2 linked regions of the Macaca mulatta genome follow. The protein of the gene in region 1 purifies or fractionates together with the protein of each later gene. This does not show direct contact. Links are inferred from orthologs where the notes say so. Each region holds a gene or a part of one and is shown on either strand. Other genes may lie near its edges.

Region 1 (10,215 bases):
CCTCTTGGGCCCCTTCTCCAGGTGGTCTTGCTTCTAATATTACTGGGAATTACCACACTTCAATATCTCCTTGTTTTCTTGCCTCATCAATAATTTTATGTAACACACTACCCTGTGTACTAGGCGGTGCTGTAGGATTAAGTCTCATGGTGGGCGGCTGAGGATATGGTGCCCTGCCCTGTGGCACTGGAAATGTTCCTGGCTGTCCACACGGATTTTCTGGGGGCAGCCGATACCGCAGTTCGGCTGGCGGCCAGTATTGATAGGCTACTGGCGGCTGGGTCTTATTTTCTACCGGCTGATATTGTGGACACTGCATTTGGAATGGCATTGCCATGATAGAGACTCTATCTTTTTCTATTTGATCTTCTTTTGGAGTTTGTACTTGTTTAACCTGCATTTGAGGTTGTAAAGTTACAGGAATCTGAGCTGCTGGAAGAGGAGTTGGCCATCGTGGTCTAGACTCTGATGGCTCTGCTAATTCTGGATTTTTTTCTTCTAATTTTAACGTTTCAGGATATACTACCTCCTGTAATTGATTAATGTCAACATTTTGCGTTGACTGAGCCATAGCTGGCTCTGATACACATTCACAGTGTGAACTTTCCTTTCCTTTCCGGGATTCTATCCTTGCCTCTTTTTCACAATCTACTGCACAGCTTTTAGGGACATCAGAAATTGGAACGCTATCTTCTTCTGTTTGCAACGGTTCTAAAGCTACTTTAATAATGACCCAATAATTCCATACTGTAAGGGGAATGATTTTACCTTCCCTACTTGCTTGTTTTAATTCTTTGCCAATTTTTTCCCAGTCTTTTAGATCTAAAGTTCCCTGTTCTGGAAACCATGGACAAAACTGCTCTATTGTTTGAAATAGCGTAGTTAGATTTTTGGTAGAGACTTTAACTCCCCCTCTTTTTAAGAGAATTTTAATAAAGCTGCGATAAGAGGCATATTTACTCATAGTTTGCCCCATTGTTACCCTAGGTTCTTCCGTGCGCACAAGCTTACCACAAGGCTGACTTTAGACATACTCGGGAGTCTCTCGTCAACTTGTACTCAATGACCATGCTCCAGCGTACCTTCACCTTAGAGAAAAGCTCCACGTTGGGCACCAGATGAAGGGGTGGCCTGCCCCTCCACACCTGTGGGTGTTTCTTGTAAGGTGGAACGAGAGACTTGAGAAAAGAAATAAGACACAGAGACAAAGTATAGAGAAAGAAAAGCGGGACCCAGGGGACTGGCGCTCAGCTTACAGAGGACCCACGCGGGTCCCGGTCTCTGAGTTCCCTTAGTATTTATTGATAATTATCTTTACCATCTTAAAGACAGGGGAGTGGCAGGACAATAGGATCAAAGAAAAGAGGAAATGGGCAGTAAGACATATGAACAAACACCTCTGTGACATGAATAAGTTCAAAGGAAAATGCTGTGCCTTGAGATGCATATGCAAACATCTCCATAAACCTTTTAGCAGCATTGTTTCAGTCTATCACATGGGGAGAAACCTTAGACAATACCTAGCTTTCCTAGGCACAGGTCCCTGCGACCTTCGGCCGTGTACGTGTCTCTGGGTAGTTGAAATTAAGAGAATGGTGATAACTTTTAACCAGCAAGCTACCTTCAGGCATTTGTTTAACAAAGACACATCCTGCACAGCCCAAAATCCATTAAACCTTGAGTCACCACAGCACATGTCTCTTGCAAGGACAAGGTTGGGGGTAGGGTCACAGATTAACAGCATCACAAATACAGAACAAAATGGAGTCTCTTATGTCTACGTCTTTCTATATAGACACAGTAACAGGCTGATCTCTTTCTTTTCCCCACAAAGACAGAGGCAGAGATTGGAGTCATACTGCCCACAAACCAAGGAACACCTGGGGCCACCAGTAGCCAGGAAAGGCTTGGGGAACAGACTGCTTCCTGGAGACTTCAGAGGGAGCATTAGTCTCCTGATGCTTTGATTCCTAACTTTTAGCCTCCAGAACTGTGAAAATAAGTTTCTGGTTTGAAGGCACTCAGTTTGTGGTAGGCTGTGTTATGGGAGCCCTAGGAGGCCACTACATAGGGACTCAGGATTAACGCCTCAGAGTCAGAAGAGGCTGGGGTCCCAGGAACCATGGGCTGCCACACTCTGGTCTGATTATCTCCAGGCTTGCTTTCCATGACAGAAAAATATGCCTTCAGCTGTGTACGCAGTTATGGGTAAGCAAGTTTGATTACTGTTTGGGGACAGGGTCCCACCTGCTGCCCACACACCCCGGCGAATTTCCCTGACCCCACTCCTCAGGCAGGCAGGGTCTCCACATCAAAGAGGGGGTGCCTGAGGCTGGCTGCCTGGGGGGCCCTGAGTGCAGCTCTTCCTGCTTCTCTTCGAGGCACCCCGATGGGGAGAAGGCAGTGCCGCAATTGTCCTTTCTCAGCTGAGGACCTTTCCCACCCAACAAGGAGAGCACAGCCATGCTGCAAGGACAAGAGTGTCTTTATTGGAGTTAGGACTGGGGCCTCTATAGGGGCTTCTGGTTTCTGGGCTGTAGGTTTGTGGGGTGTGGGATCTTGGGTCAAAGGTGGGAGACTAGGGCAGGGTATCAGAGGGTGATATCATCCTCGTACAAGGACAGCAGCAGCAGGACGGTCCAGCCGCCCAGCAGGCCCACGTTGTGCAGCAGAAAGAGGAGCCAGGGCCGTGGGTCCCGTACTTTCAAGATGGCCGGGAGCTGAGGAGCAAGTGGGTACCAGGTCAGCGCCCCTGCTCAGCTCCGCTGCTCAGTTCCCGGCCCAGAGCAGCCCCTCCCCTCACCATCCTGACCATGTCGCAGAGTGCCACGTAGAGGAACAGGCCGGTGGCCACTGCCAGGATCCAGACCTCGCTCTCCTCGCCGACTCCAACCGCGAGTGCCACGTAGAGACCCGCGAAGGCCGTGAGCGCAGAGGCCAGGTTCAGCACCAGCGCTTGGCGCACGGAAAGGCCCGCCTGCAGCAAGGCCGCGAAGTCCCCTGCGGGCGGGTCCACATCAACAGCTCCGCCCTCCTATTTACATGCCCCGCCCACCTCCTTTCGGTCGCGCGCTCTTACCACCAGGCCCCGCCCACCTGTTCCCGGTCTCCCCGCCCAGCCCCGTGCGGCCCCGGCCGTCTCCTTCCAGGCCCCGCCCGCCGCTCACCCAGCTCGTGCGGCAACTCGTGGCAGAACACCGCCAGCGAGGTGGCCAGCCCGGTCTTCCAGGAGGACGCGAAGGCGGCGCCCACGGCCAGCCCATCGGCGAAGTTGTGCACGGCGTCGCCCAGCGTGATCACATAAGGCAGTAACCTCAACTCTGCGGATGCAGCGGCCGTGGGTTCGCGTGGCCTGTCCCCGACCGCCAAGCCCCGGGCCCCGCTCGCGCTCCACACAAACCTCAGATCCCCCAGCCCTTCCGGGGTCGCCCCCTGGGCTCACCTGGGCTCAGTCTCCTGGGCTCCGGCTTCAGCAGCTCCGGGCTCTCCTCCGCCACCTGGGAGGAGCCTTGAGTAAGTCCCGCCCAGAGATAGAGGAGGAACGCGGCGGGGCGGGGCCCCAGATCACCGCGGGAGGCGGGGCCGCAGGCCTGGGGTGGGGCTGGGAGTGTGGGCTTGGGAAGGGGTCTGTAGGAGGGGCTCCGCGTGGGGTGGGGCATCGGGCGCCCACTCACCAGGTCCGCGCGGGAGCCCTCGTGGGGCGGCTTGGGCTGCCGGAGCTCGCTGGGTGCCAGCTGCAGGGACACGCCGTGGCTGTGGCCGCCGTGGCTGTGGCTGCTGTGGCCGCAGGGCCCGTCCTCCAGATCCTGTGAGGGTAGCTGCTCAGCGTCCGCCAGGCCCCCAGCACACCCACCCGCCGGGTACCTTCCCAAGAAGCCTGACCTCCGGGTCCCTGGGCAGCAGGAGGTTGAAGAGGTTCTCAAACAGGAAGAAGGCGTAGAGCCCGGCCAACATAGCCAGGAGGCGCCAGGTGGGCTGTGAGCTGAGGCCCTCTTCGCTGTGTGTGTGCAGCCCCAGCACCTGGGGAGTAGGGGCGCTGGGCTGGGGGGGTCACAGGGCGCCTCCCTCCAAGACCCAGGGAGAGGGGTCAGGGGTCAGGGGGTGGTGTGGGTAAGGGCCCTGGGAGGGCATGGCCTGGGAGTCCATGGTGGGGAAGGGAAGGCCAGGATCGGGGGGTTGTGGGGGCAGACCTTGGGCATCAGGTGCAGGACAGCATCCCCAGTGAGTGCACCCACCGCCAGGCTCAGGCAGGTCTGCAGGATGTAGTGGGTGACCCCCCTGCAGCCAGTGCAGGTCAGCAGTACGAGGCCAAAAACCGCGCAGAGGCAGATGAGCAGTGTGGCCAGGGAGCCGTACAGATACCCTGGGGGCGGGTGAGGTGGCTGTGAGAGCTTTTCTTCCAGACTCAGCCCCTGCTTCCCGGGCGTCACTCACCAGAGCTGCAGGCGGTCAGTGTGGGCCAGTCCCTCACTCAGGCTGACGCTCCTGCCTCAAAGCCCCACTCCCCTCCTGGCGATGCCACATTCCTCTGTGTCTGCTGTTTCAACTTCCAGGCCCTGCTCCCTCTCTCCATCCCTCACCCTCGGCAGCCACTCCTTCCTCCCTATGTGGGCCCCACCTCTGCACTGCCAGCACAGTGCCGGGGTGGGCACTCACTCTCTGCCTGGCTGAGCTGGTCCTGGACGGGGAGCCTGGGCTGGGAGGTGCAGGCTCCACTCAGCTGCTGTTGCAGCAGGGCAGGGCTCAGTTGGACCCAGGCCTCCGGGGTCACCCCAGCCTGCTCTGACAGTCCATACACAGCCATCACGTCCCTGGCACTCAGGCATACCTGGGGAGTGGCAGGACAGGCTCAGGGGCCTGAGCAGACCCCAGTGGGACCCCATCTTACCCCAGGGCACAGCTCACCGTGTCCCACACACTGGAGCTATCGTTGGAGGTGACGAGGGGCACAGGGTCCTGGCCGCTGGCTCCCCTGTGCTGATGACTGTGGTCACTGTGGGCCTCCCTGCCTACCCCCAGGCGCTGCATCAAGGCCGACAGCTCTAGCAGGGAGAAGAGTCAGCACGGCGAGTCTGTGTGGGCTCCAGCCCTGCCCCCTAGGGACATGGAGGCTGGGGACTCGGGGGTGCCCCCTCCACAGCCCAGCCCAGGCCTCACCAGCCAGCGTCATAGGAGCCTCGCTACTGTGCTGCTGGAACACAAAGTCCACGAAGTACTGAGGGCTCGGCAAGGCATGGAAGCAAGACCCACTCCTGACGTGGTCCAGCAGGGCAGCCAGGACGCCACCGGCACTACCTGGAGCCCCCGCCCCCACCGCCTCCTCCAGCAGCTGAGGAATGTCTACGCAGGCCTGGGGAAGAGGGGGCCTCTGCCTCAGCCTTTGGTGTGACCTTGCATCCAGTTCTGCCATCCACCCAGCTGCCCCTGGATGCATCTCCCACGCCAACTACAGGATCTGCCCCCACCAGCCCCGCCCTTCCCTGGGGCCACAGCCCTCCCTGCCGGGCCCAGCTGCTTCAGGCTCCCACTCAGCCCTCTGGGTTCCTCCCTCGTGAGGCCCCTCCTGGGGCTCCTGCAGGCCCCCAGCTGCCCGGTAGTGAGCTCTACATTGTGAATCCCCAGCAGGAGGCCGACTCCCGGGCGTCTCCCCAGGCCCCCGGGCTCCCTGAAGGCTCTGCAGCCAGGCCTGGCCCCCTAGGCCATGGGGCCCTCCTCACCCACTCCCCTGGTCTGCCTGGACTGTCCCTCACCGTCTTGGGGGTCTGGCCGGCAGCCTGGGCCTGCATCCTCTGCAGCAGCCAGCTTAGGCCCGGGGTCAGGGCCTTGGGGCTTTCGAGCAGGGCCAGGAGATGGTCTGCACGAGAGGCCCAGCGGCCAGCGCGAGCGTCCTCACACGTGCCCTCGGGGTTGCTGAGGTAGAGGACGGCGGCGGCACTGAGGCGGGCAATGTACCTGGCCTCCAGGACCGGGCCTGGGGGCAGCCCTGGCCCCTCAGGCTCGCCCAGGCCCAGGGCGTCCTCCACAGACAGGCACTGTGGGCAGAGACAGGTGAGGAGGGGCTCTGGGCCCACCAGGGAGGGGAGAGGCAGGCCTGGCCAAGGGGCTTCCCCACAGGCCTGTTTCCTCTCCCTCTCAGGTCCACCATCCTCTCTCAACCCGTTGTGCCCTTCTGTCTCCCCAGGACCCTGTTCTGCTTCCCCAACTACAGGGGTGCACGGAGAGGGGTCCCCAACAGTGGTCCCATCCCCAGGGGACTCCCCTGGAGCCACTGCCAATTTGATGGCTGGGGGCCGGCAGGGGGAGGTGGCCCTGGGGTCCTGGGGAGAAGAGGGACTGTGTGTCCCTGGAGAGGTGTGCCTGTCTGCCCTCATGAGCATGAGGGTGGGCTCTGGCCTGCGGGGAGGGCCAGGGTGCCCAGGTACTGCCGCCAGCCTCCTCCGCCTCCTGGAGTTTGCCCAGGGCCCTTTGCTGCCAGTTGGCAGGGCGGAGCGGGCGGGAAGAGGCCAGGGCTGGGGGACCTGTCGGGTGGGGCTGTTACCTTTCCACACGGCCCGTTGGCGCAGTGCACACGGTCCGCCAGCGTATTTAACAGGCCGCCCAGTGCCTCTTGATCCACAGCTCCCTGGCCGGAGGTGAGCAGGCTCAGCAGACCAGCAGGCGGGGGCGCCGTCGCCGTTGCCGTTGCCGTCGCCGTCGCCGTCACCGTCACCGTCACCACCAGCACAGCCAGCAGCAGCCCAAGCTCCAGCGAGACCAGGGACGCCATACTCAGCTCCCAGCGTGCTCAGTGGGTGTTGCTGTGGCCAAGGCCCAGTGCTTCTGGGCTGGCTGAGGGCGGCTTTGCTGGGGTTGTCCAGGGCCAGACTGGGGCTGGGCTAGGACCCGCCCGGCCCGGCCTGCATGAGGACCTCTCCCAGGTATTCCTGCAGAGCTCTGTGATTGGCTGCTGGAGATGCCTGGGTTAACCATTCCAGCGGCAGATCCTCCCCAGTAGCCTGAAGCCACTGCTGGTGGGGGGCGAGGGCTGGGCCCCTTCCCCTGGACAGGCAGCCTGGGTGGGCTTTTTTTTAGATAGAGTTTTGCTCTTGCTGCCCAGGCTGCAGTGCAATGGCGTAATCTTGGCTCACTGCAAACTCTGCCTCCCAGGTTCAAGTGATTCTCCTGCCTCAGCCTCCCGAGTAGCTGGGATTACAGGCGGCACCACCACACCCAGTTAATTTTGTATTTTTAGTAGAGGCAGGGTTTCTCCATGTTGGTCAGGCTGGTCTTGAACTCCCAACCTCGGGTGATCCGCCTGCCTTGGCCTCCCCAAGTGCTGGAATTACAGGTGTGAGCCACCGCGCCCGGCTAGCCTGGGTGGGCTTCTGTCCTCTTCCTGCTGCCCCTCAAGCTGTGGGGCAGAGCCGGAGTGTCCCCTTCTGGCTCTCCATCTGGAGGCTGCCTCCAAGCTGGGGGACGCAGGGCAGAGGTGCACAGATGCCCCCAGAGCCTGAGAGCTCCCAGGTCCATGCCTCTGCCCCTCCCAACAGAGGCTGCCCAGACACCCTTGGTGGCCCCAGTTGGGGTGGGGACATGAACCTCTTCCTGGGTCCTGGCCTATGGTCCCTGTTGGGGACTGCGATGGAATCAAAGGAACTGAAAAGGTGCCTGCTGCATCATGCTCTCTTAGGCCAGAGAAAGCCCCAGGAAGCTCCAACACAGACAACCAGGAAGACGGACCTGGGCCCTGGCAGCCACCTGGCCGGGCTTGGGGCAGGATAAGATTGGGGTAAGACCCCAGCTCTAGCCCCTGGGGCAGGGAGGCTGTGGCTCCCAGCCCTGCCCTCCCTGTGGGCTCCTTCTCTGGCCTTTGAGCCTAGAGGCCTTATCTCTACTGTGGTGGTGATGGCAGGAAGTCTGGGGGAAGGGGAAGGCAGATCTCAGGGCAGCTTTGCCTTCTGAAGGGGGAGTCCAGATGCAGCCTCCTGCCCGGTCCAGCCAGCCTGACCCTGAGTGTTGTGGGTGGGGCTGGGGTGGGGAGCTGGGTGCCTGAGGCCCAAGGACTCTGTCCTGCCATGTGCAGGGCGGGACGGGGCAGTGCGGGCATTGGGCCCAGTGTCCTGGGGTCAGGGTGCTTCCCCGGCAGCCTCACCCTGCCAAGCGGCAGATCTCATGGTGCCCCTCTGGCTGGGCCCACCCACAGTGGTATCCTTCTGGGGCCGCAGATGATTTCTGGGCCCCAAGACCATGACGGGGGCAGCTCTACACGCAGCTTGGAGATGTTGCGGTCCCAAACTGGCCCTTTCCCTCCCACACCACCCCAGGACCAATGGGCTGGCTGGAGGCCACCCATTCGAAACCAGGCTCAAGGGCCTATTTTAGCTTCAGGGCAAAGGTCTTGGGCTGGGCCTGACTCTGTGGCCTTCCTGAGCTGCCTCCCCAGTAGGCCTCAGTGCTGGGCTGCAGGCCTCCTCCATTCCCTCCATTCATGTGACCCCATCCCTCCCCACAGAAACTCTCCTCCACAGCCCAGGAGCAGCCGCTGAGGGTTTCAGCTGCCCGTGCCCCAGCCTGAGGCCGGCTTCCCCAGAGCAGAGGGGTTGCACTCTCCTGCCCCTCAGGCCCACTCTGTCATGCAACAAGCTCATTGCAATTGGCCCATCTTAAAAACAACACTGGTCGGGCACCTTGGCCCACGCCTGTAAACCCAGCACTTTGGGAGGCTGAGGCAGGTGGATCACTTGAAGTCAGGAGTTTAAGACCAGCCTGGGCAACATGATGAAACCCCAGCTCTACTAAAAATACAAAAACAAATTAGGGCACCCAGGCCGGGCGCAGTGTCTCACGCCTGTAATCCCAGCACTTTGGGAGGCCGAGGCAGGCAAATCACGAGGTCAGGAGATGGAGACCATCCCGGCTAACACGGTGAAACCCCATCTCTATTAAAAATACGAAAAAATGGCCGGGCGCGGTGGCTCAAGCCTGTAATCCCAGCACTTTGGGAGGCCGAGACGGGCGGATCACGAGGTCAGGAGATCGAGACCATCCTGGCTAACACAGTGAAACCCCGTCTCTACTAAAACTACAAAAAACTAGCCGGGCGAGGTGGCGGGTGCCTGTAGTCCCAGCTACTCAGGAGGCTGAGGCAGGAGAATGGCTTAAACCCGGGAGGCAGAGTTTGCAGTGAGCTGAGATCCGGCCACTGCACTCCAGCCTGGGCGACAGAGCGAGACTCCGTCTCAAAAAAAAAAAAAAAAAAAATACGAAAAAATTAGCCAAGTGTGGTGGTGGGTGCCTGTAGTCCCAGCTCCTCGGGAGGCTGAGGCAGGAGAGTAGCTTGAACCTTGGAGGTGGAGCTTGCAGTTGAAGGGGTGGTCTGCCCCTCCACACCTGTGGGTGTTTCTCGTTAGGTGGAACGAGAGACTTGAGAAAAGAAAGAAGACACAGAGACAAAGTATAGAGAAAGAAAAGCGGGGGCCCAGGGGACAGGCGCTCAGCTTACAGAGGACCCACGCCGGCACTGGCCTCTGAGTTCCCTTAGTATTTATTGATAATTATCTTTACCATCTTAAGGATAAGGGAGTGGCAGGACAATAGGAGGGCAGTAAGACATATGAACAAAAACCTCTGTGACATGAATAAGTTTAAAGGAAAATGCTGTGCCTTGAGATGCATATGCAAACATCTCCATAAACCTTTTAGCATTACTTCAGCCTATCACATGGGGAGAAACCTTGGACAACACCTAACTTTCCTAGGCAGAGGTCCCTGCGACCTTTGGCCGTGTACGTGTCCCTGGGTAGTTGAAATTAAGAGAATGGTGATGACTTTTAACCAGCAAGCTGCCTTCAGGCACTTGTTTAACAAAGACACATCCTGCACAGCCCCAAATCAGTTAAACCTTGAGTCACCACAGCACATGTCTCTTGCAAGGACAAGGTTGGGGGTAGGGTCACAGATTAACAGCATCTCAAATACAGGACAAAATGGAGCCTCTTATGGCTATTTCTTTCTATATAGACATAGTAACAGGCTGATGTCTTTCTTTTCCCCACATTTCCCCCTTTTCTTTTCAACAAAACCACCATTGTCATCATGACACCGAGATTACATACTTCACAAAGTAATAGAATATCACAAAGCAAGTGGAGGCAGGATGAGATCACAGAATGGTGTTAAAATTAAAATTTTTGGGCATGCATAGTCATGGATAACATCTTATCAGAAAACAGGGTT
Region 2 (10,184 bases), on another chromosome or scaffold:
GCTACCGTAAAGCTCAACACATCACAGTTAGTGAACTGTGATGAAAATTTAACAAATTCTGTTTGATTTGAGGCTGCATAGACACTAAGCCTCTGAAATCATTTGAAGCATATTTTTCTTAAGTTTTTTCTTCATAAAAATTGCATGTTTTACAAATTATGATGGAGTAGGTCAAATCTTCCCATTAGTATTTCTATTATTGTATAGTAATACAAGATCAAGTCTTAATGGAAATTATATTTAGAAACCATAGATTACATTTGCTGAAATTGATCTATGTTTACATTTTCTTGTCAATGGGAAATACATATAACCGTAAGTGAAAAATAAACTAAAACATGTTTATCTTTTTATTTCTAATAATCAAAGCTGATATTTATTGAGCATTTACCATGCACCATGCACTGTGTAAAATACTTTTTTGCACATTATTTCATTTAATTGTCACAAATTCACGAGGTAGGTTATGTTATTACCATTTATCTGATGAGGCAATGGTTAGAGAGGTTAAGAACACTGCACAAATACTGGTTGTATGATACAAGCAATCCTTTCTTTCTTTCTTTTCTCTCTTTCTTTCTTTCTCTCTTTCTCTCTCTTTCTTTCTTTCTTTCTTTCTTTCAGGGTCCCACTCTGTTGCCCAGGCTGGAGTGCAGTAGCATGAACATGGCTCACTGCAGCCTCGACTTCCAGGGCTCAAGCAATCCTACTACCACGCATCTCGAGTAGCTAGGACCACAGATGCACCCACTATGCCTAGCTAATTTTTAAATTTTGTGTAGAGACAAGGTTTAGCTATGTTTCCCAGGTTGATCTCGAACTCCTGGGCTCAAGCAATCCTCCTGCCTTAGTCTCCCAAAGTGCTAGGATTACAGGCATGAACCACTGTGGCTGGCCAATACTGCCATTCTTTATGCAAATATTTTTTTCAATTGTTATCAAGTAGGAAATCTAATTAACTTCAGTTTCATTGAATTTCATCTTTACTTCCTTCCTATCCATGGCTTATGAGAGAAGTGTTAACATGAAGCAACAAGGATTATGGTAAATAGAGAATTAATAATCTAAAATAACTAAGAGTTGGCCATATTGTTATTATAATTATACTGAAGCTTATTTACATATTCTTTGTTTTGTGTTGAAACCTTGAGTTCTGATGGGGGAAAATCATGATTTTGATTAAACACAAAATTGCTTCTCGCCTTTTGGCTAAGATCAAGTGTAGATTAAACACAAAATGGGTAGTTAAACCTCTAAATAGTACACACTTTGGAGAAAGCTGAAGTACATGTAATTATTTAAATCATTCCTGATTATTTAACTTACATATTTACAAGCCGAAATAAAATGTGCAAATGTAAATAATGCTTTTTCTTTTCTTTTTTTTTTTTGGAGACAGGGTCTCACTCTGTCACCCAAGCTGCAGTGCAGTGGCACACTGTAACCTCAACCTCCTGGGTTCAGGTGATCCTCCCATCTCATCGTCCCAAGTAGCTGGGACTGCAGGCGCCGGCCACCATGCCCAACTAATTTTTTGTATTTTTTTTGTACAGACAGGGTTTCATCATATTGCCTAGGCTGGTCTTGAACTTCTGGACTCAAGCGATTGGCCTCGCCTTGGCTTTCAAAGTGCTGGGATTACAGGAGTGAGCCACCTGCCTGACCAATACTGCATTTTTTGACTTCCTGTTTTCTATCCTTAAAGCACTGATTTCTTGGACCCAGTGAAAACAAATTTTTCAGGTTGAAGATTTTAAGTTAATGTAATCATTCATATTTGAAGGATGTCATGATTTATTTTTTAATGTCTTTACTATTGAAAATATTTCTTGTTATTATAGTTTATTTATACCCTAAATTAAAAATAAGCAGGCACTTCATATTCTGGATTTGCTGTCACTTGCCTACAACAAAACAAGTAACTCTGGGTTTATACTGGATGAGTTACAAAGCGAGAGTTTGGATTTTATCATTGGTTTCAGTCCTAATTTTAGAGGTGTGGGGATACAAAAGAAGTTCTTAATTTGGAGACATTTAAAATGGCTTGTGTGGTTTTCTTCAGGAAGGAAGCATGCTGTCTAACTTCAGGACCATCACAGCACCCTTTAAATATGTAATAATTATTTTGTTCAAAATGTTTATGTTCCATATCTTATCACTCAATGTATAAAATATCACTGCCACTGACATCAATTACATTTTATGGAAAATGGAGTGAATTAGTAAGCTGTCAAGTAGGTATTTTCCTCCTCCCTCAAAAAGTTATGTGTCCAAGTATAAATCATCAAAAGGATGCAGATTCTTTCCATATATTGCTTACAAATTGACTATTGTTTAAAAAGGCACAAATTTCAAAAAAATAAAAAAAATAAAAAATAAAAATAAAAAGGCACAAATTTCATAGACAAGTCTTTATCTCCTTCTTTCTTAAAAAAGCACAGAAAATGGGGGAAAAAGTCTTCTATACTGCAGTCTAAATTATAGGTAGGAAAAATAAAAACCAAGTGACATGGGAGATTGGAGGTGAATTTTCAAATATCAGTAATTTACAGGATTTACAGGATTTTCATTAGCATGGTTTCCACGTTTTCTGTAAGATATGAACATTTAAATTGATAAGAATGGAAGATTCATATAACATTAGTTTTTCTTACTTGTATCCATTTAAAGATTCACATTTTCACTTTAATATATAACTTAAGACTTTTCTTTCAAAACACATCTAAAAATTAGTAAAATGCCTAAATGGAAGCTTTATTTACTTGGTAGAAAAGCTGAAAAAAATAAAAACATATTCTTCACAATTTCAGAGGTGACAAAAATCTCTTATATTTCAGTAGTTTCTGATCTCCCTTAAGGGATTTGAAAATTGTATATGATGTTGCATAATCTTAAGAAGATTAACGTTAAAGTGCTACTGGTCTATTTCAATTGTGTACTTCTTACAATATAATGAAAGAATTTATTTGGTAATCCTGAATCTATTGACCTCACAAACACTGGTCATTATTTTGGTGAAAATATTCATAAGCATTTTTAGTTACTGATTTCTAACAGTTGTTTCTTATTATCTTCCTGATTTTACAATTCCCCAAAGTAAAGGTGCGAAAAACAAACATCTACCCTCCTTTTCGACAAATGCCATGATAGAGGGGAGACTTGTGTGGTGTAAACACAAATGTAGACATTTGGAAGTTGATGGTTTTAAGATTCAATAAAAACTTGAAGGTTTTGGCTTCAAATCCCCACGCTAGTTTGTTTTAGTTCTACCGGATACATGTCCCCTACCCATTTCAAAGGACCCAGTCAACTCCGCTCTTGCCTGCAGTTTCAGCGTCGCGGGTGACCCGCGCCCCGCCGGAGTTGGAGCTGGCAGAGTCCGATTGCTCAGAGCGCCGAGCCGGGGGTGGGGCAGGGGTACGCTTGCAGGTCCGGTGGTCACGCTGGCTGAGAGCCCCCACGGCCGACCCGCGCTGCAGACCCTCCTGGAGAACCTCAGGCCTCTCCTCAAAAACATCCCTAAAACGCGTTCCCTTTGTTCATTCATTCATGTTCAATTTCATATGCCCCTCTGTCTTGGGAAAACCAATTCGGGCCTCTGCAGCCTCAACACAGGGGCACTGTTCCCGCCTATTACTGACCCAGTGAAGCCGGGAAGACGAATCTCGACCACTGTTTCGCAGATACCGCGTGTGATTTATTAAATGCCGTCTCTCCGAGTCCCAAGTGGCCGGGAGCATTATGCCACCTCCCTTGCCCTCATCTCTCACTGCCATGCAAGAAAGCGTTAATGGCAAATAGGGACCACGGCCACGCTCCGTCGTTCCTGCTTCCAAGCAAACCTTGTGCCAGGTTCCTCATTTCGCGAGGCTCCACTCTCTTGGGCTTCAGGCTGCGGCTGGGCCTCCAGGACCAAAGGGCAATAGAGGTCTGAGAGTCCGGGCCTCAGGCATATGCAGGCCGCAGGTGGGAGGAGAATAGCGCCCGCGCGTGGCAACAGCCCAGGGCATCTCCGCCGGATTTTTCCATCCCCGGGATAGGCTTGGTGCCCCGTACACTCCAGCGGAACTACAACTCCCAGCACCGTGGTTGCCCGGACTCCCGGAAGCCGAAGCCCGGCTGGGAGGAAGCAGCTGAGACCCCGCCAACAGACCGGGGGTTAATTTAGACAGAAAAGGGGGCGGGAAGGGCTGTGGGATACTTGTCAATTCGCCGCCATGAACGTGGTTTTTGCTGTGAAGCAGTACATTTCCAAAATGATAGAGGACAGCGGGCCTGGTATGAAAGTACTTCTGATGGATAAAGAGACGGTGAGTTTGCTTTTGCTCAGCATTTGTCAAGGAACCCTCTCAACCTTACAATAGCTGGTCCCATTCCACAGTAGGATTTAGCATTTAATTAAAGATATGAAAATAAGGGTCAGTTTGTGTGGAATTGAAAAGTTGTATAAAGCTTGCCCGGTGGGTTTTTCAGTCTAAATGGCTCCAGCCACTGCCCAGAGACTGCTTCTACCCGAAACAATTTATTGGAATCAGAAATCTTTTAATAAATGTCTCTGCCAATAAATCATTAATATGTTAGAGCACTTGGAAGACTTTGGGATGGGCCTACTGTTTCCACTCAACATTGCGTTTTAAAAGTAAAGCTGTTGGAGCTCAAGCTGAACTGACAGGTTATTTGTTGGCCACAGACCAGAAAACAAAATTCTTTAAGGTGATAGAAAAAAATATTTTTGGAAATGTATGGATTGTTCCAGTTCAAAAAGAGCATGTTTTTTCTTTGTTTTTTGTTTTTAACCTTGACACTTCAGCTGAAAGGAGAGAGCGTATTTTTCGTTCTTGTATGTTACCTACCTGTTTGGATGTTCAGTAAATGTTATTACGTATATTACTATTTAAGTTATCCAGCTAAGTATTAATGAAAAAAGAGGCTTAGATATGCTACTTGTTTTTATTATTCTAGACTAGCATACTTTTAGTTAATCCTTTGTTTTTACAGACTGGCATAGTGAGTATGGTATACACACAATCGGAGATTCTACAGAAAGAAGTGTACCTCTTTGAACGCATTGATTCTCAAAATCGAGAGATCATGAAACACCTGAAGGCAATTTGTTTTCTTCGACCTACAAAGGTACTGCATAAACTGAGTTTCCATCTGCCCAGGCAGATGCAGCACACTCTAATCTGAAAGCATTAAGAAGGCAAAATAAATTTGTATTTTCATAATTTGTGGCATCATAATTATCCTGGTTCATCAGTATTATAACCTTCATTTTTCTTGTTTTGTTTCCATATTTCAGTTGACCCCTTACAGCCAATTCTTCCTTCAAGATGTCTTTTAGGTTCACAGCTATTCCCATTGCCACTAATGAACTACTCTTAACAGAGACCCACATTACTTTATTCCTGGATTAACCTCCGTATCTGTCACATTGAACACCATCAACACTTAATTTCGTATACAGCTATGAGTGTCTTGAATCTTTACCACTTTATTCACATTTATGCTCAGAAACTTCTGGTGGTTTGATGTTATTTCCATGATTAAATCTATATTTAGCCCAGCAGTTAAAGCCCTCCTTTGTTGGTTTCATTTGCCCATATGTATCTAGCCTTCCTGTGTCCTAGGTCTGCTGCTCCTCTGTAGCCAGCTGGGCTACTGTTGGAATGAGCAATTTTACATGCTCATTCCTGTTCACTGGTTTTTTTTCTTCCACTAATTAAAAGTTATTTGGCCATTTGTCACTTTTTGTCCATCACCTTCTAAATCTAGCTTGAGTCTCTCCTTTAAAAATCCTTTCCTATTTTAATACTTTCTTTTTTTTTTTTTTTTTTTTTTGGAGTATCCCTGTGTTGCCCAGGCTGGAGTGCAGTGGCGCAATCTCAGGCCCACTGCAAGCTCCACCTCCCGGGTTCACGCTTCTCCTGCCTCAGCCTCCCGAGTAGCTGGGACTACGGGCGCCTGCCACCACGCCTGGCTAATTTTTTTGTATTTTTAGTAGAGATGGGGTTTCACTGTGTTAGCCAGGATAGTCTCAATCTCCTGACTTCATGATCCGCCCTCCTCGGCCTCCCAAAGTGCTGGGATTACAGGCGTGAGCCACCGCGCCTGGCTGTTCTACTTTGTTGATTCATATTCATATTCTTCAACTCTAATGCACTTTATCATGCTTGTACATATGTACTTTCCAGAATGCAAATCTGATCATGGCACTCCTGCTTGAAATCCTTAAATGACTTCTCATTGCTTTTCTGATAAGGGCAAAAGTCCTTAATTGTAGCCTTCAAGGTGCAGCATGGTCTGGTTTCTACCATTTCTCCAGCCTCATTTCGAACCATTCCCCTTTTGCACTCTGCACCTTAATCACCTTAATCTTTCAATCCACTATATTCCCCTTGTTCTGTCATGCCACAGGACCTTTGCATAGGCTTCTTCTTCTGCCTGGAACTTCACTTCCTCAAGTAACCCTTCCCTGGTTTTGCTGACCAGGTCAAACCTGCCCCTTATGTGCATTTACAAAACCATCTTTATCGCCCTATTGCGTGTCATGGTTTGAACTTTTGTATGGTTTGGGTGATTACCAGCAGTAATCCATGAAAACAGATATGATATCTGTTTTTTCTCACCCTATATTCCCAATGCCTGTCACACAGTGGACACTCAATAAATAGTTGCTGAATTAATGAACACATGCTGTGTTATAATAGTTTCCAATTGTTTCATATTTATAGCTCTTAGTCATGATATTTTGCTTCAAGAGGTACCTTAGAGATGATCTAGTTCATTATTTCCTAATTTTTTTATTAGAGAAACTCTTTGACTGCTATGTACTGTCTCTCAAACTCTTTTAAGAATCTTTCCTTTTGGCCGGGCACGGTGGCTCACACCTGTAATCCTAGCACTTTGGGAGGCCCAGGCGGGCAGATCACGTGGTCAGGAGATCGAGACCATTCTGGCCAACATGGTGAAACCCCGTCTCTACTGAAAATACACACACACACAAAAACAATTAGCCAGGTGTGGTGGCAGGCACCTGTAGTCCCAGCTACTAGGGAGGCTGAGGCAGGAGAATTGCTTGAACCAGGGAGTTGGAGGTTTCAGTGAGCTGAGATCACGCCACTGTAGTCCAGCCTGGCGGCAGAGCAAGACTCCGTCTCAAAAAATAATAATAATAATAATAATCTTTCCTTTTTCTTTTTATTATTTTGTATATTCTCTTTTGTCTTTTTCCACATTGTCTGAACTTTTAGGAATCTTTTAATTCAGTTTGTTATTTTTGCCTAGCATATTACGAGGAAGTAATTGAGGTTTAAAAGATATTTTAAATTTTTTTCTTAAGATTATATTATAACGTTAATTTGAATGCATTTTTAAATCTAAATGACAATTTTTAAAACCTTTTCCCCATTAATAAGCAGTATACATTGCTTACATTTTTCTTTTAATTCTGTAAAGAAAGGTGATTTTTAAAACAAATTACTAAATATGTTTAGGGAACAATTTATATTGAAATTTAACCAGGTATTATAGTATCAAAAATCAATAAAACCTGCATTATAATCTTATGTAATCGGAATTCTTATATTTTGACCATATAAAAATCAACTTTTTTGTTTTAAACTTTTATACTTTATTTTAAATTAATGTAATTATAGAAAGATCTTAGCCTACTACTTGCAAATACTTCACAAACATTGTAGTTGTGCAGAGTCTTACATCCCAATAAATTAAAAGCCAAAGTGAATATAATTAACTATATTTTCTCTTGAATGTTAATTTTTAAAGGAATAGACACATTTGATGTTCTAGGTAAGAATTTTGATCAGGCCAGGCGCAGTGGCTCACACCTGTAATCCTAGCACTTGGGAGGCCAAGCCAGTAGATCAGTTGAGGTCAGGAGTTCAAGACCAGCCTGGCCAACATGGTGAAACCCTGTGTCTACTAAAATTACAAAAAATTAGCTGGGTGTGGTGGCACAAACCTGTAATCCCAGCTACTTGGGAGGCTGAGACAGGAGAATTGCTTGAACCTGGAAGATGGAGGTTGCAGTGAACCGAGACTGTGCCATTGCCCTCCAGCCTGGGCGACAGAGTGAGACCTCATCTCAAATAAAAAAAAAAAAAAAAAAGAATTTTGAGCAAGTGAATACAATTTATAGACAAACAGCTCGATGTGAGTTTGCAGAATTATAATCAATTTTATGTTGTATTTCAACATCTGTGTCCCTTATATTCTTTATCTTAATTTGGCCAAAATGCAGTTGGTTAATATTTAATATTATACACATACTATTAAATAATATATGATTCCTGATCATTGTATTCATCTCTTTTGTCTCCAGCCCTTACCCACCAACATGTGCACAAAATTTATCTGTCTGCAGCCCTTATCCACCAACATATGCAACACTTAACCTAGACTTCAATATGCAGTAGATGCAGTAAATAAACAAATCAATGGGTAATGCTTATTACTTTTTTCCTTAAGCAACTCTCCTCATATTTTGTTCGCTTGTTCTTCATTTTCTAGGAGAATGTGGATTATATGATTCAGGAGCTCCGAAGACCCAAATACACTATATATTTCATTTGTAAGTATGTTAGTTCACTTTTTCAAACTCATAACAACATCCCAGTTAGTGTGTTTCATTGAGCCCTTTATGTCACTAATAAGTTCATTGGATCTGTCACTATAAAGATCTCGTTTATTTAACGTCCTTCCAAAGTATTAAAAGTCTGTTGACCTGCCGGGCATGGTGGCTCAAGCCTGTAATCCCAGCACTTTGGGAGGCCAAGGTGGGCGGATCACTGAGGTCAGGAGTTTGAGACCAGCCTGACCAACATGGTGAAACCCCATCTCTACTAAAAACACAAAATTAGCTGGGCATGGTGGCGCATGCCTATAATCCCAGCTACTTGGGAGGCTGAAGCAGAAGAATCGCTTGAACTGGAGAGGCGGAGATTGCAGTGAGCCAAGATTGTGCCATTGCACTCCAGCCTGGGCAACAAGAGCGAAACTCTGTCTCAAAAAAAAAAAAAAAACAAAACTTTTGACCAATATTCTGTTTCAGAGGGCTAAATGTGATTTCCATTCATCTTTGATTACTTAAGTTAAAAATTTTACATTTTACTTTGCCTTTCAAGATGCTTTGTAAGTCACAAGTTGTAAGTAGACAAATTTTACATCTCACCCCTGCCAAAAAAAAAAAAGTATATACTTATCCCCATTTTACACTTAGGAATTGAGGCATGGAAGCTGATTTATTTTTTGAAATGGGAAGGTAATACTTGAGTTTGTTGGAAAAGCAGAGATTTACTTTACATACCAGATAAAAGCCTTTCACTTCTCTTTGTTACTATATTTAATGCATTGAAAGTATAAATCATCAGGTAGTGATCTCTTATGTGCACAACTTTCTTGGGTTGGGGGTTAGGTAGGGGAGGTCTGGAAATAAACTAGGTTTGTATTTACTATACAATTTACATGGATTTTTTTGATCCAATACATTTGGCTGTGGAAGTTACATCCATTCTCCTCTAGATGTCATTATTGATCTTTATGTTAATAGTATTAGTGTAGTCTGTTTGGTAATATTTCCAAAACCAAGGACTAGATTTAACAGTAAGTAGGGCATTTGAGAAGTTTTAAAGCTTACTTAAAGGTATTAGAGTTTTAGGGTTTAGACTACAGTCTAAGACATGTACTTTCTTCAGCGTATACTACTTAAATGGAATAATGATACAAAAAATTAACATTTGTGAAAAGACTATATATAAGAGCTCTCTCATATTTTATTTCATTCACTTTTGTGTAGAACTGAAAAGTTATATAAAGCTCGTCCAGTGGGTTTTCAGTGCACAACGCCCCAAGAGGTAAAAATAGGCAATTTTATTAATCTGTGGCATCTTAATTTTTGTTTGTTTTTGGCTAAGAGTCACAGGTTTTCTTTTTAAAATTAAACTTTCTATTCTGAAGTAATTGTAGATTTGTGTGCAGCTGTAAAAAAAAAAAAAAAAAAAAAAACACAAATGATCGCAGATACCCTTTACCCAGCTTCCCCCATGTAGTATCTTACATGACGATAGTACAATATCACAACCAAGATGTTAACACTGATACAGTCAGGATACAGAACATTTTCATCTCTATAAGGATCCCTTATATTGCCCTTTTATTAGCTT

Evidence for each region.
Region 2: the proteins of SLC39A4 (region 1) and VPS45 purify together in Homo sapiens (affinity purification with mass spectrometry; 3 studies listed by BioGRID and IntAct, counting the BioPlex papers as one, with this or other methods). This does not show direct contact. The link is inferred for Macaca mulatta from reciprocal best matches to the Homo sapiens genes SLC39A4 and VPS45.

Annotation. Positions count from the first base shown.
Region 1 is NC_133413.1:154,818,650-154,828,864, forward strand, and holds SLC39A4 (zinc transporter ZIP4), read right to left. Parts: upstream 6,539-10,215; 5' UTR 6,378-6,538; coding exon 5,751-6,377; intron 5,351-5,750; coding exon 5,158-5,350; intron 5,043-5,157; coding exon 4,906-5,042; intron 4,829-4,905; coding exon 4,657-4,828; intron 4,364-4,656; coding exon 4,191-4,363; intron 4,021-4,190; coding exon 3,883-4,020; intron 3,807-3,882; coding exon 3,675-3,806; intron 3,498-3,674; coding exon 3,443-3,497; intron 3,321-3,442; coding exon 3,168-3,320; intron 3,001-3,167; coding exon 2,813-3,000; intron 2,721-2,812; coding exon 2,592-2,720; 3' UTR 2,468-2,591; downstream 1-2,467. UniProt on the Homo sapiens protein: Selective transporter that mediates the uptake of Zn(2+). Plays an essential role for dietary zinc uptake from small intestine. The Zn(2+) uniporter activity is regulated by zinc availability.
Region 2 is NC_133406.1:117,076,149-117,086,332, reverse strand, and holds the start of VPS45 (vacuolar protein sorting-associated protein 45), read left to right. Parts: upstream 1-4,097; 5' UTR 4,098-4,217; coding exon 4,218-4,310; intron 4,311-4,978; exon of another isoform or gene 4,979-4,998; coding exon 4,999-5,133; intron 5,134-8,532; coding exon 8,533-8,593; intron 8,594-10,184. UniProt on the Homo sapiens protein: May play a role in vesicle-mediated protein trafficking from the Golgi stack through the trans-Golgi network.